Linked DNA regions of Astyanax mexicanus. The protein of the gene in region 1 purifies or fractionates together with the protein of each later gene. This does not show direct contact. Links are inferred from orthologs where the notes say so. Each region holds a gene or a part of one and is shown on either strand. Other genes may lie near its edges.

Region 1 (7,381 bases):
TGTCAGTTTGACTAGTTTTTTCAAAACTTTAGCGTATTTTGAAAAGGTCAAAAGGTCATCTGGAAAAACAAAAAATGTGTGAACTTTCCAATTGAACACTCCTGATAAACAATGACAACATGTGGAAAACCTTTGGCACATTCTAACGAATATGAATGAATATTCTACAAACCTCAACAGATTTGTATATATAAAATTAAGCACTGATTATGTTTTAAGGACTCTGATAAACAATGATAACAGATGAAAGCCTTTTGACCATCTCCAAAATGTGACAGTGTGTCCCAAATTGTATTAGACCTTCTGAAACATCACCAACCTTTACTCTAGTAGGCATCATTGTGCCAGTTTGTGCTTAAACTTAGACTGCCGCTTTTGGCTATATTTTGTTTTATTTTTGTTACAATATTATTATTTTATAAAACGTTTCTGGCCTTTAGAAATTATGAAGACAAATAACTTTTAAAAACATTATCCTTTTAATCACATTTCAGTCTGGACTGCCATTGCTAGATATTTAATTATTTCCCTTTTTGGAATTCATGCCCCATAAGCACACTTACGTTGTCTCTTTCCAGTTTGCGCAGAATCTCTTTGGTCTCCTCCTCAGTCTCCCTCTTCTCCTTCTTAATGTTGATGATGGGGGAGGGGCCAGTGTTGGGCGTTTCTCTTGCATCATCATATACACCTAACAAAGAAACAAAAAGTCAGAAAGCAAGAAAAATGCATGATTCTCTTTTACTGCTGAGAACTACTGGTACTACATAAAGTACACATTCGTGCTTCTTTATTTTTCTTTATTTTTAATGGTCAAATGGTTAAATGGCTGACCTTGTATAGTTAGCATAAAAATGAGTATTTAATTTGGCCCAGCCTGTTTATTAATACTAGTTTAAAGCAGTATTATTCTCCTGGGTTTCCCCTACAGTTGTGAAGTGTAATTCACTTCTATTTCATTGCAGTAAATACAAACTGAGTTTTGTGCTCCCACTCATGAACAGGCTGTACATATGCATTTGTTAATAAGCTGAGAGATACACTGTTGGCATCAGAAGTGATAGAAGCATGTGGAAATAGATGGTAGAGTAATACTAAATTTTTTGTGGTTCTTGTCATTGCATTTCCCCCTGACCTGTATTTTATCATACCTCTCCTCTTGGCCATCATTTCCGCAGGGCCCTGCTCAAAGATAGAGTGGGACTGAATGACCTCTGGGCGACCCCGACCTCTGCCACGCCCGTCTCGCTGCCGCCCTCGATCCGCATCTTTCCTTTCTCTCCTGGGTCCCTCATCAGCTTTCAATCTGCAACAAAACAGCACAGCTACTGTAAAGTAAGGCCAGCTAAGGGTCATTATATTACACTGGAAAAGACATTTGATTGCAATACACTCATGTAAAAACTTACTCTTCTTTACTTTTACGACCAATGATGTTAGGTGTGAATGTTTTCTGTGGGGCAGAACAAGAGAGAGAGCACAGTTGCTTAATACACTGACACTGTTTTTTTTTTTTTTTACCAGTGAAAACAATGCAATCTGGTGTACCTTTTTTACACCTCCCAGTGTGAGGTCTCTTGAGCGCATGGTGGGGAGACGACCGGGAGAGAGAGCAGCAGGCAGCCTGCGGCCAAGCACTGAACCTCTGCCACCACCTCCAGGCTGAGGGGTACGGGGTGGTCCAGAATCACCAGAGCCTGGTGTGGCCATTTTCACACTATAATTACATGCAAAATTTGACATTTAATCATTGCTGTGAATTGTTTAGTGCTTTGCATTACATAGTCAGTACGACAACTATTGTTAATATGGTGTTACATGCTGTGTAAAGTACTGCAGATTCATACTAATATTCCATAATATTCCATAATGGTTACTGATTAGTAAATAAAACAGTACACATACAGCTCATCACTGCTGTCCAATGAAAACCTCCATTTCTGTCTGTTTTATGTTTTGTGAATGACTTGAATCCTGTGGATGCTCTCTACACTGTGTAAATAATTATTGATGAATGGACCAATAGAAATGATCTATTAATGTGGAATGAACTCTTATTTTGCATTGAATTCCATGGAAATTATGAAAATTTTTGCCTTTTGCTGTAAAGTCACAGTTTTGGAGGAACTTGTTTTTTAGCGGACAGCGACAATATTCACACAGGATTACAATCAGGTCACTATTACTGCTGTCAGTGTATATATATTCTCAAGTTACTACAGTCATGCTGGAAAACACATTATATATTTATATTGGCTAAACATAAGACACATATACATATTCATGCTATATTAAAATTACTTTAAAGTTATTACTGTCAAACTGTAGATTCATACTGGATTAACAGTATGGATTATCTATACACTTAAAAACTACAAATTCAAGATAATTACATACTGGATCAGAACCTGTTAATTTTCATTGTGATTAATGTCAAACTTCATAACCCACAAACTGCATATTCAAACTGGCAAAATACACTAAATACACACTAGTTTTAACTACTTAAAATACCCAATATCAATAAGCACAAAATCACCACCATTCCATTTTTTTCATTATTATTATTTTTTTGGCTTTGCTATTGTAAGTCCCTTATTTGTGCCTTTTATTTAAAATATTTCCTGACAGCAGTAAGACGCCACCAAATTAACTGTGCAGACCTCGCTGTTTACACTGTTTTCTCACAGGGACTTTATGTAACCGTTCTGCTACAGGTAACTTAAAAGTGCTGAGCGGCTGCAGTTCCCTCCCTCACTGTAAACACATGGCAACACATGGCTAAACTGCCGGCCGCTCAGCCGCTGAACAGGGAGCCGGCGGGCTAGTTTAGCTCATAATTTACTGCCACTGAAGAAAACGACGAGGTATTTACCTGCGAGCTGCCTGCTGTCCTACCTGAGCTCCTCAGAGTTTCCAAATTAAACCAATAAAAATAAATCTCACGAGACACAAGTTAGAATAGGGCGGAGTTTTAGTAACGACACGAAAGAGGAAGTGACGGAAAACATGTCGGTGCGCTCAAATCGGCATTACCCCTACTCCCTGTTCCCTACTCCCTACTACATACTGCCTACTCTCTAGTCCTTTTTCCTGCTGCCTGTTCCCTACTGACTACTCCCTGTTCCCTACTCTCTACCTCCTGTTTCTTCTTGTTGACTACTCCCTACTGCTTGTTTCCAATTCCAATAGTGCCTCCCTACTGCCTAGTCTCTGTTCCTATCTACTTGTTGGCTACTCCCTGTTCCCTACTCTTTACTCCCTAATGCCTATTTCATACTCCCTATTCCCTACTTCCTATTCTCTACTCCTTAATGCCTACTTCTGTTCCTCACTGTCTACTATGCCTACTCCCCACAAACTGTTCCCTACTCCCTGTTTCCTCTCGCTACTCCCTTTTCCACTAGTCCTTACTCCCTACGTTTTATCAGAAGCATTTTTCAGTTGTGACTATTTTCTGCACATTTTCAATTTCCCCAGTTATATAAAAAATACGGTAAATGGAGCGCATGTGTTAATAAATGGTGGTGAATGAAGCTAAATGGCTTATAATAGTGTCTACTACTTACTACCAGTATATTCTTACTGTTTGTAAAGTATATTACAGTATTTTGCTAAAATTAAGCAAAACATTTTTCTACAACAAATGTTTTTGGTAAACAGAGACACTAGCAATACTGCTACTGTGTGATGACTTGTCTGTGAGCTGACGCTGAAGTAACCGCGTACTGGAGCTTTAAAATTATGTGAAACATTTAATATGGTTCCGTGTTGAGAAATTGAGATTTTTCAATATAAAAATATAAACCATTTACAATCTATGATTTGCTCAATTGCTATGAGCTCATTCATTTGGAATCATTCTGGAGTGCCCTCTAGTGACTGACAAACCCAGAACATATTCTCAAGTGGGTATTGTCTTCTGTAAAAGTAAGTTATATCTCTGAGTATATCTGCATTAAATCGATATTTATAAACTATCGCATAATATATTAGCGGTTTTCCACTACATACATTTCAATCTTTTATATATAACACATGTAATTAATATTTTATGATGTGGAGATTTCCTGTCCAATTATGAAGCCTGTCACACTTGTATTTTGAAAAAGCTTTCAAGCCGGTGGGTCACTTCCTATTCCGGCCAGCTTGGCTCGAGGTAAACAAACTGCACGGTTGATATTTTATAAGTACTTTATTTTTATACCTCTGATGTAAAAACAGTCTAAATACTGATAAATTGACGTCTACTATCCCGCTACCTCGAGCTACAGTTGAAGAGCGCACTGTTTCAGTTAGCTGTATTGTCGCTAACCTGGTTGTACAGGAGCAGCTCTGTTAGCAAGCTAAGCTATGTTAGCTAGCTAAACTAGCTGGAGTGTTTGTACTGCTTGGTTTTTTATGTCTTGCTAACGCTAGCTTAACTAGTTAGTTAAACTGTTTTAATAGTGTTGGTTGTGTTGATGGTAGCTAGCTAAGTGTAATCTTATAATTCTGCTTCATTAAAGCCCCTGAAAACCAAACATGACCCGACACGGGAAGAACTGCACTGCGGGAGCTGTGTACACCTACCACGAGAAGAGGAAAGATACAGGTCTGTTTCTGGCTCCTTTAAAATGTGTAAATGTTTTTTTTTCTCTGTTTGCAGCTTTGCACAAATACAGCTGCAGAAACACAGAACGAGTCCAGAAGGTGTAACAGCTCGACCCAATTCACCAATTTATATTAACTATTAAGACTTTTTTTCAAATTTTAAGCTCCCAAATTTTAAAGTCCTAAAAAGAGTCTATGATTCATGATGTGATTTAAACCACAGAATTGTTCACATGTCTGCTTTTTTAACAGTGGACTCCATTATCCTATAATGTAAACAAATCCCAGTTAAGAAAACACTTGCTAATAATGTGAAAAAAGTGAGCTTTAAGAAGACCTTCCTCCCTGTTCCCTACTTTCTACTCCCTACTCCCTGTTTCCTTCTTCCTACTCTCTGTTCCCTACTTTGTACTTCCTACTCTCTACTTCTTACTCCCTGTTCAATACTCCCTGTTCTCTTCTCCCTACTCCCTGTTCCATACTCCCTATTCCCTGTTACTTGTTCTCTACCTCCTACTCTCAGTTCCTTAGTTCCTACTCCTTGTTCCCTACTTCTTTCTCTCTGTTCTCTACTTCCTACTCCCTATTTCCTACTCTCTACTTCATACTCCCTGTTCCATACTCCCTGTTCACTACTTGCTACTCCCTACTACCTATTTCCTACTTCCTGTTCTTTTTTTATAATTTTCACCGCAATTAAAACATGATGTGGGAGCCAGAACTGTCTTCCTGTTTTGTCTTCTGATGGCCTCTGTCTATTCCCTACAGCTGCTTCTGGATATGGAACTCAGAGTGTGCGCCTGGGGAAAGACGCGATTAAAGATTTCGACTGTTGCTGCCTCTCATTACAGCCCTGCAGAGACCCGGTTGTAACGTAGGTGGACTTTCACAAGTTATAAACTTAAACTTAGATACAGCTAAAACAATATATGGGATTTAACTGAGCATGATGTCTGTATTATTCAGTAGTTAATATGTCTGGATCATTAAGAGTGAAATATGTTGTACAGCTATTTTTTAAAATTAATTTACAGCAGTGGAAACAGGGGTTGCATTGACCTCAACACGAAAACTGGCATTTGATGTACTGTCCAATAAACACTAGTGAATCTGCACCTGTAGAATTACGATTAGTAATAATGCCTTAATATGAAAAGTGATCATAATAAAAATAATAAATTGGATTTTTTTTCATCGTTATTTAATTGCACAGCATTTTACTTGCATGCTAACAATTTTATGTATATATGTATATTATGTTGCAACCTCCACATATTTTATATCTCTATCTTCATGTACAGTATCCAAATAAACGTTTGGACACACCTTAAAGCAAGTTAACAGCAAGTTAACTGCACCACAGATAAAAGCCACCTAAATGCTTCACTATTTTGGTTTTTTTAACACTTATGTTTACTACATGATTCCTTATGTTATCCTTCTTAGTCTGGATAACTTCAGCATTCATTTACAATGTAGGAAAAATCTGAATAAGAAGGTGTGTCCAAATTTAGTCAGGTACTCTATATGTCTCGTATATATTTTATTATATATCTATATATTTATGTTTTATCCTTTCTGTCTTTATCTTGATTTTTAAAAGGTTCCATAATTTCAATGAATTATTAGTCTTTATTTAATATCAATAAAAATAAATAATAATTTAATAAATTTAGAATTTATGTTTTAATAATTTAAAACAATTTAGAAACCTTTACTCTAAAATAACCTAAAATTATTAATTAGACAGTGTTTTTTAAATCTTAGCTTTTCCTATGTAGTTTTCTATTATAATACACAATTGAATTCATAATCACTGTCCTGATATTTCTGGGGTTGTTAAACCAAGGTCCTTTTGTAACATACAAATAAACATCAAAAAGACAAAACAAGATAATTCTCTAGGAGATCTAGATCTTTATTCTCATGTGTCTGTTGCTTTACAGTGAAGATGGATTCCTCTATGAAAGAGAGGCAATACTGGAGTACATTCTCCATCAGAAATTGGATATTGCTAAGAAGATGAAGGTTTGTGAAGGCTTTGACTGCAGCTCAACTCTTTACGTTCTGTATATTATACTACAATCCTTACAATATTAGTATTTATCTCTCCCTCTCTTTTATATGCTTCAACTCCCCAAGGCCTACGAGAAGCAGAAACAGGCTCTGAAGAGTGAGGGACAGCTGGAGTCCTGCTCAGAGGAGAGGGAGAAAGTAGAGAAGTTCAAGAAAAGAGAGGGCAGCATTGTCTCCAAACCAATCAATCCTTTTATTTCAGGTACAAGGGGACAAATTCAGTTCATGTTTGTGTAATACACTTATGTACATTTATGACCTCATATTATTTAATTTATTGTCATGCAGAGGAGTCTATATTCAGTGTTAAAAAGAATTTGTTAAATAAAATAACCACATTTGGTTCCCTAAAGATAAAGGTTTAAAGAAGACTTAAGACAATAGTAGGTAAGTAGGAAAATTAGGGTAATTGGTTTGGTGTAGGGCTGCTTTGCTTCAGTAGGACATGGCAAGCACTCCAATTTAGAGAACATTTGTACAAAACTGCTAAAACAGCTGAAAGAAATCTGCCTGGAGTGGGGAAATCTTTTTCCAGTCTATTGTTTTTTGTGGGGTACCTACACAGCTGCACTGGTCCAGATGTACAAGCTATTAGTAGAAGATATGAGAATATACAGTTTCTGATACAGAGAGAGAGCAACAGAAAAAAGGGATTTTTAGGTTTTATTACACCACCATTAAGGCTTAAAACAGCAGCTTGAAAACAAGGCCTTGC
Region 2 (7,972 bases), on another chromosome or scaffold:
CAAATTCTTGACAATACACAGTAATTTTCATCATCATCATGATCATCATCATAATAATCATAATCATAATCAACATGACCATCAACATTATCCAGGCAGGATACAATTTAGCAGGTTGTTGTAGTGATTCTGGTGGGATTAGGATGTCATCGAAGAATCCAAGACTGACTGTGAAACACACACATGCACACATGATAATTATTTTAAATATCAACTAATAATATAACTAAATAATATTTCTAAATAAAAAAAACATAATGGAAAAATCTTAAATATATAATAGAATAAGTAAGCATACTTTATCCTATATAATCTGTATATAGGACACTGTATAAGGGTTAAACGATTCTGTGTTCTATGTATGTTTGTAAAAGTTCTGCAAGTTCTGTAAAACGCTGTGAGCAATAAATTTCTAATGTATCAACTATTACATAAAATACAAGTAAAATATGTAAAGTATATTATTTAAAGTCAGAAGCAGTAAATAACTCTACATTTCTGTTGTTATTTGATGATTCAGGCTTTAACGGGTAAAGTGTCTCTACAAAGGATGTGAATTTGTTTAAACATAAAAACTGTGTACACTGATAAGCTGACTTGTTCTTTTAGCATTTTTTGAGAGTGACAACCTTACAGGAACCAATTCACCATTTTTCTCACTTAATAAACTAAAAGCTGAGACTATATGGAATACATTTCTGAGTGTCAGAGGTGTAACAGCATGACAGAGAGATTAAGAAACAGATACAGGCCTTATTGAGAGAGAGAGAGAGAGAGAGAGAGAGAGAGAGAGGGAGTGAGAGAGATAGTAAAAGTGTAGTGGTGTGTAATTTTACCGTGCACTCCTTCCTGACTGCAGTATTTGATCTTCCCCACCAGAATCTCATCCAGGAACGGGTGAAACACCACATATCTAAAATGCACTGTTCCAAATAAACAAAGCAAAGACACTGATATTACAGAAATATTTAAGATCTACGGCAGAATCAGTTTCAAACAGAAAGAGAGTCTGAATAAAACAACACAGGCTTTCTAAAAAACTCTAAACAGCTACTGCCGTCTAACAGCTGTCTGCCCAATGTTTTATTAACCTGCATTAACCTGAAAGTGCTCTTCCCCATGCTTTGTGTAATTACACATTCTGACCAGAGAGGTCTCCAAATCCCCCAAAAATACCTTTAGTGTGGGAGGCTCCATCCCCGGGGAAAATGTAGGAATCCTCTAGTTTGGTGATGTCATACAAGCAGATACACAAGCCAACGTTATACACGACCTAAAATAAGGAGACATGATTACTACATCAAACGGACAGTTATTGAAACATCAAATCTTAATCATTAAAACAGAGTCTAGCTGCTTTAGGTCAGCATTTCTCCCTTGAGTTTATTCTACGAGCTTCATCCAGTGTGTGTCAGACTCCAGTCCTGGCAGCCCAGAGCACTGTGCAGACAGTAAACTAAGGTGGTAATGTACATTTAGATTCTAGATTACAGTCGGCATTTCATTTAATCAAGATCCAAACTTACTTAGAAATCACCACGTGAGCCTTACATATATGCTAAATCTACCGCTCAAACTTTCCTGGATGATTATTTACAATAGTGCTGCATCTAATCAGTTTTTTTTTTCTTGAATAACCTCAACACCTAATTCATTAATTATTCTAAATGTTTCACTGTAACACCGTTACAAAAGACGATGCTCACAGGGCACTAACCACAGGACACTGTTCCACAAGACGATGCTCACATGATGCCGCCCATAGAACACTTACCACAGGACACCTAAAAACAGAACACTGGTTCACAATGTTCACAGGACACTAACCACAGGACAGTTCTGTTGATGGACTTTCCTAAGTCCAGCAGTGATACTAACATGTTTAAACACTCTTACCAGTAAGGAACGGAGCATGATGAAGTATGAAACAGATACAGGACTACAGTCTGTATTTAAAGAACTACACCGTGTCCTTTATGCTAAGTGGAGCTGAAACTGGATAATGAGTTTAGAAACATTCAGGTGACCATAATGCCCTGTTGTGAACAAAGCTGTAATAGTGATGGAGGTCTTGCCTTGTTGGCCAGTTTCTTATTGAGTTCTTCAGCAATGGCATCGTTGAGCTGTCGATGGAAGTTCCAGGGAGGAATCCGCACCGTGTCCACCATCTCCACCACCACGAACATCCTGAAATGAATAATAACACACCTGATTAATAATGCAACTGATTAATAACACAGAAATAATTAATAACAAAACTGATCAATAACACAAGTGAATAAAAACAGAACTGATCAATAACTCAGCTAATTAATAACAGAGCTGATTAACGATACAGCTGATTAATAACACAGCTAATTAATAACAGATCAGATTAATTACAGAACTGATTATTAAAACAACTGATTAATAACAGCTGATTAATAACACAGCTGATAAAAACATAACTCTTTAGCACAGCTGTTTAATAACACAGCAGATTAATAATACAGCTGTTTAATAACACAGCAGATTAATAATACAGCTGATTAATAACACAGCTGATTTAAACAGGTCAGATATGCTGGAAGATGCCGGAGAAGCGCTAGATTGAGTTTTTCTTTATTATTTCTTTATTTTTATTTAAATATTGTTAAACGTGTCATAACTTTATTTACTATGGTTAATACACTTCTTAAGGGTGAGCCTGAAGTTCTAGAGCTGAAACAGGTAAATAAACAGGTCGACACGAGGCTGAATTTGAGCCTGGAATAATCCGCTCCACCTTAAATCGAGCTGCAGTGAGGAAGTCAGGCTGGACCTGAGGCAGCACGAAGCTCCAGCCTCGCTAAACAGACAAAGCTCACCTTCCTCCTCTGAGTGAACTCCTCACTGCTCTACAGCCTCAGTTCTGATACAGATTTAATCCGAATCCGGTTCATTTTACACTAAACTCCCGCTGTCCTCTCACGTGTGCTCCGGCTTTACGACAAGGCTGGACGGTTTACGGCAAAACATGTGACGTATTCAGCGTAGATATTAACCCTTTCAGACCTGCATCCATTACAATGAACACCAGGATTTTCTTTATTTTTAAATGTTTTGTTGCACATAACGTTATTTGAGAGCTGTTGCTCATCAGAATAGACCATGAACCATCCAATCAACAAGTTAATAAACCAATGAAACAGCAACTAGGTCCACTGCACTGGAAAAACAGTAGTACTAGAGCCATTGAGTAACAGCAAAGTAACAGCTAATTTTAACTAATTTAATTAATTTGATTTAGAACATTTTTTATCATGTTTTTTACTGTTCATGGATGATTTATGAAATAAAAAAGGTCATTATGAAATATAAAATATTACACACAGGTTTCCAATGCAATGGAAATAAAATATATAATAAATAAACAATAAATAAATATTTTAATTAATTTGATTTATTTGCTAAATAGACTTTATAGTAGAATATTAGACTCTTCTTTTTCTGTGCATTACTGACAGAATTCTTGCATATTTTTCCATCACTTTCAGGTCATGAAAGGGTAAAAAATATGAACAGAAAAAATATAGTGTATTATTATTATACACTCTGTTTATAAATCACCACTGATCACATACTGTATGTCTTCCATTAAAAAAAAACATTACTACACCTAAAACTTATTATTATTATTATTATTGTTATTGTTATTATTATTAATATTATCATTGTTGTTGTTGTTATACCATATCAATAGCTGAGCTGAAACCTTTAGTGGAAAAGTAACCACTGTGCTTCTATTACTGTTTTTAGACACAAGTTTAAGCCTCATTTGTCCACCTGGCATTGCAACATACTATTATACTACTTTTAGCCTCTTGTTATCAAGTTCGCAGTGGTAACTATTTGTAATATTCAGAGGGGCTATTGGATCATGTTGGCCAAACTGCTAGTCTGCCATTTGTGTCACGTGACCCCCTAATTTCTTTATTTTTAACACCAAGAAGTCTTTTCAACGTAAGCCACATTTTGTCCCATATCTCAAGAATCAGTGAAACATGACTGAATTTAAATATGCCAGCATTTATAACTTTGGGGCAGAAAGCTAAAAAAAAAAGAATAAACATAAATATTCAAAACATAAATTACACCCATAGTAATATTAGAGTGATTCTAATATAAAAGGATTAATACATTTATTGAGAAAAAATGCTGTAATTTAAAGGAGCCTCTAGCCTGAATACAAGATGAGATGCGATTGGACATGGTGGTGTACATGTTTTGTGTGGCATCCTGCAGCATATTTACCCACATACGTTGCAGTTGTTGCAGTAGATCCTGCTCTACACTTGTTGGTTGCTGAAGCTGCGTCCCAGCCGCTCCCATTAATACTGAACTGAATGCCAGTTGGAAGCCCTGCTATTAGCCATGCTATCACACCTGTCTACAGGGTGTCGTGCATGTATCTCTGAGCTGTTAGTGTCCCTCAGATCACTTCTAGCAGTGACCAACTGTCATACGCAAAGACCTGTCATACCACAAGACCTTCATACTCAAACCTGACTATCATCAGATCCCAACCTGAAGACGATATGTTTCCAGTCTGTAGCAGTCCAGGGTTCTTCTTCATGACACCACTGAAAACGAAGAGGATGGTGGGTGGCAGTTGACCTATATGGCAGGCAATTCATCAAAACCCCCCTAATTCCCTCATTCCAACGATGCATTTTTTACAGTCTGCCAACTGGGCACAATGTTTTTGAGTATGTCAGAGCCATGTCTAGCAGTCAACAATCTAATATTAATTTTCATCAATAGTAATCATTTTAAGTAGTGTCTCTGTATTGATTAGTAAGTGACTTTTGACTGGGATCTCTTTGAACACCTACATGGTTACATGTGATAAACAACCCATAAAGCCAGAACTTCACACAGGCATTACAGAGTGAGTGTATGATTACGTAATATGCTCATGCCCTCTGTACATCTGTCATGCATCATAACTCCCTTCCCCCACTTAAGCCTAAAGAACCACAGGATTTTTCTATTACATATCTATTGACAATACGTGACTTTGAGCTTTAGTTACTCTTTATTTCCAGACATTTGTGGACAACCCTTCTATTTAATAAATAGAAGGCTAAAGCTATTAGATAAAGGCTAAAGCTATTGTCACTTCATGCAATCACATCCTCAAAACAATGCTCCAAAATCTAAAATCTAGTAGAAAGTCTTTGTTGGACAGTAGAGACACTAACTCAAACAAAAGCAGGATACACTTTTTTTTTTTTAAATTCCATTCATTTCAGAAGAAACAGTAAAGTAGCAAGTGTCCCATTACTTTTTTTCCATGTAGTGTAAAAGTGTATCTGTAACTCAGAGAACAGCAAATCTAAAACAATTTAATGTTTAATACAGAGTGTGTTTACATGCATTCAAACAGTTAGATTAATGTACAATACCTGATCATGCATTACTGGTGTGATTTAACACACTTACAGTTTCACAATGGTGTGTGTGTCTGTGTACGCATTTTAATACAAATCCAGCCAAAACAAGCACATTCTCATTAGCTGATTTATTTTATTTTCATTTATTTAGGAAAGTTCAGATTCTGATAGCATTCAAATCACATCCATCTACAAAACACAAATTAATAAACATTAAAATCAGAACAGAGAGATGGAGTCCGATTCCGACAAATATTTGGTTGTAGATTAGAGATCAGATGTCAGATACATAAATAACAGGTGTGTTCACTGTTCGTGTACAGCTTTACTTCAGCAGGAAATAAAGGTTACATCACTGACGGATAGGCCAGAGTTTTTAATCACATAACAGAGCACCAGCTGATCCACGGAACAGCCAGAAACCTAAATAAATCAGATTTTTGCAAAGTGGACCCAAATCAGGTGGTTTCAATCTGATTGGATTCATACAAACGTGTCTCAGTCTGATTGCAGGAATCCGAGAAGAGTGCTGAAGGTTAGTTACTAATGCCAATCTCCATACCACAGCAATAACCGCGCAGAAGCGCTTTTAAATACCAGTGTGGATACTTATCTTAACAGATCTGAGTTGGGAAACGACTCAGATTTGCCTGTAGATTTGCCTGAATACAGCGTTCAGTTTCTGAACTTTCTACACAACCAAATAAGTGCTAAAAAGTAAAAGTGCAAGAGTTTAATTTTAATACTAGAGTAAAGAACAGTACTTAAATACAAAAGCAATATTTAATTACTCTAATACGCTCCATCCCCAACAGAGAAAACCTGTTATATATCAGCCTCGTTTACTAGACGTTAAGCCGTCAGGCAGCCACTAATCACAGAAGACTGAATAATTAATAAAAGGATCCCTGCTTTATTCATCTCTATTCTAGTGGAAGCTTCAGTAGAGATTAATGAGCAATATGGAGGAAAGACTGGAGTCAGGACCGAACAGCAGACTGCAGGCCAAGCAATCAGCAGCTTTTTAAAAGAACAATCTGACCTTTATCTTTGAATCATTTGTTTAAGCATTTTCATTTCATTGATTATTCATCTCAGTAATCAAAGGTTTATTAGTGATAGGGAATCAAAGGTGCAAATTGTACAGAACCCCCTCCTCCCAAACTAGACACCCTAAACCTTATTTACAACTACCTTTACCCAACTCTGAGAGGCGCTGGGCTTTAAAACCCAAATCAGACCTAAAACACCTACACACTCCACCAACTCCGACACACACCTCCACCTCCACAAGCGTCGTCCAGCAGCACACTACTCCACCACTCCTGCACACCTCTTAACATTCACATAAATATTGCCATTATATTACTCATTTCCAGACAGTCAAAATCCTGTTTAAAAGTCAGCAAGTGCTTTTTCACCCATTAGTCACAAAAATACAAAAAAAAAAAACACAACAAATCCGATCACTAATAGTAAAGAAAATAAAAAATAAAATGGTTAAAAGTCATTCAGGGTTGTTTTGGAGTGCTTTGGGTTTAGATGGTAAATAAAGTGGTTATGTGTGTTGTCATTGTGACACCAGGTTCAATTCACCACCATTGTAACTAAATCCACTCCCTACCAGACAGTTAATGGAGACTGAAATGACTTTAAATTAGCTTTAATTACAAAAGCGCTTAGGAGTGTGTGGCAGGGGCTGTGTGTTACAACAGCCTACAAACCACCGTTGTGCGTTTAGGACATGAAGATGAACCACTACAGTCAGAAGTCACAGAGAGCAGATCATCAAACAAGAGGTGGGACAAACATAGATATGGTGATATATCTTACATTTTCGATACATGGCATCAGTTACGAATATTTTTACTGAAACACGAGGTGGCCCTATAATCAAATGAATAGGGTAAACCTATGGTGAAGAATATTGGTTGTTAAATTGTGTGAAAAAACTAATACATCTATAATTCCTGGTATTTGTTTATTTAGGAGTATTTTATTCTCTTCAGTAACACAGATGCCGTAAAGTATGTCTTTGACAGAATCGAAGTATTGTGGTGTAATCGGTATAATGGGCATCATATCCTGATACTATCATACGAGATGCCCTGTGTTTTACACTCCTAACAAACACACACAAAAAAAAAACAGAAACAGTGTTTTCTATCGATAATCTCAGACTCGTGGAGTGATGACAGCAGTGATGCAGGAATGGAGAGTCATCAGCATCAGATGTTTAGACCTTATTAATATTTGAACATCTGATCTGATCGAGCTCCAGAAGAAACTCCAATTGCAGATTAGCCAGCTAACTTAACCTTAGGTACTTTAGGTTTGACTCAGTCATTACAATAGGCCCAGGTTCTAAAAAGCCTGGCATTAAAAATCCCCATCTTAACTGGTAAAGAAAATGATCAGGAAGATGCTCGCTGCACCACTTATCAAGAGTAAACAGCTATGCTTTAAAATGCTTTAGATACCCTGCCCTTTCAATGAAAGCCCTTAAAGCATTAAAATTAGAGACTTTCTTTACTATTGAGAGTTACATATAAGAAATA

The links.
Region 2: the proteins of polr3d (region 1) and polr3h purify together in Homo sapiens (affinity purification with mass spectrometry; 6 studies listed by BioGRID and IntAct, counting the BioPlex papers as one, with this or other methods). This does not show direct contact. The link is inferred for Astyanax mexicanus from reciprocal best matches to the Homo sapiens genes POLR3D and POLR3H.

Annotation. Positions count from the first base shown.
Region 1 is NC_064426.1:19,991,220-19,998,600, reverse strand, and holds the start of polr3d (DNA-directed RNA polymerase III subunit RPC4), read right to left. Parts: upstream 3,002-7,381; 5' UTR 2,873-3,001; intron 1,715-2,872; 5' UTR 1,708-1,714; coding exon 1,546-1,707; intron 1,451-1,545; coding exon 1,407-1,450; intron 1,304-1,406; coding exon 1,149-1,303; intron 689-1,148; coding exon 564-688; intron 1-563. Other genes in the region: nitric oxide synthase-interacting protein, read left to right, coding at 4,522-4,591, 5,359-5,464, 6,537-6,618, 6,733-6,868. UniProt on the Homo sapiens protein: DNA-dependent RNA polymerase catalyzes the transcription of DNA into RNA using the four ribonucleoside triphosphates as substrates.
Region 2 is NC_064410.1:18,950,095-18,958,066, reverse strand, and holds the start of polr3h (DNA-directed RNA polymerase III subunit RPC8), read right to left. Parts: upstream 3,005-7,972; 5' UTR 2,847-3,004; intron 2,188-2,846; 5' UTR 2,187-2,187; coding exon 2,076-2,186; intron 1,274-2,075; coding exon 1,177-1,273; intron 924-1,176; coding exon 837-923; intron 169-836; coding exon 105-168; intron 1-104.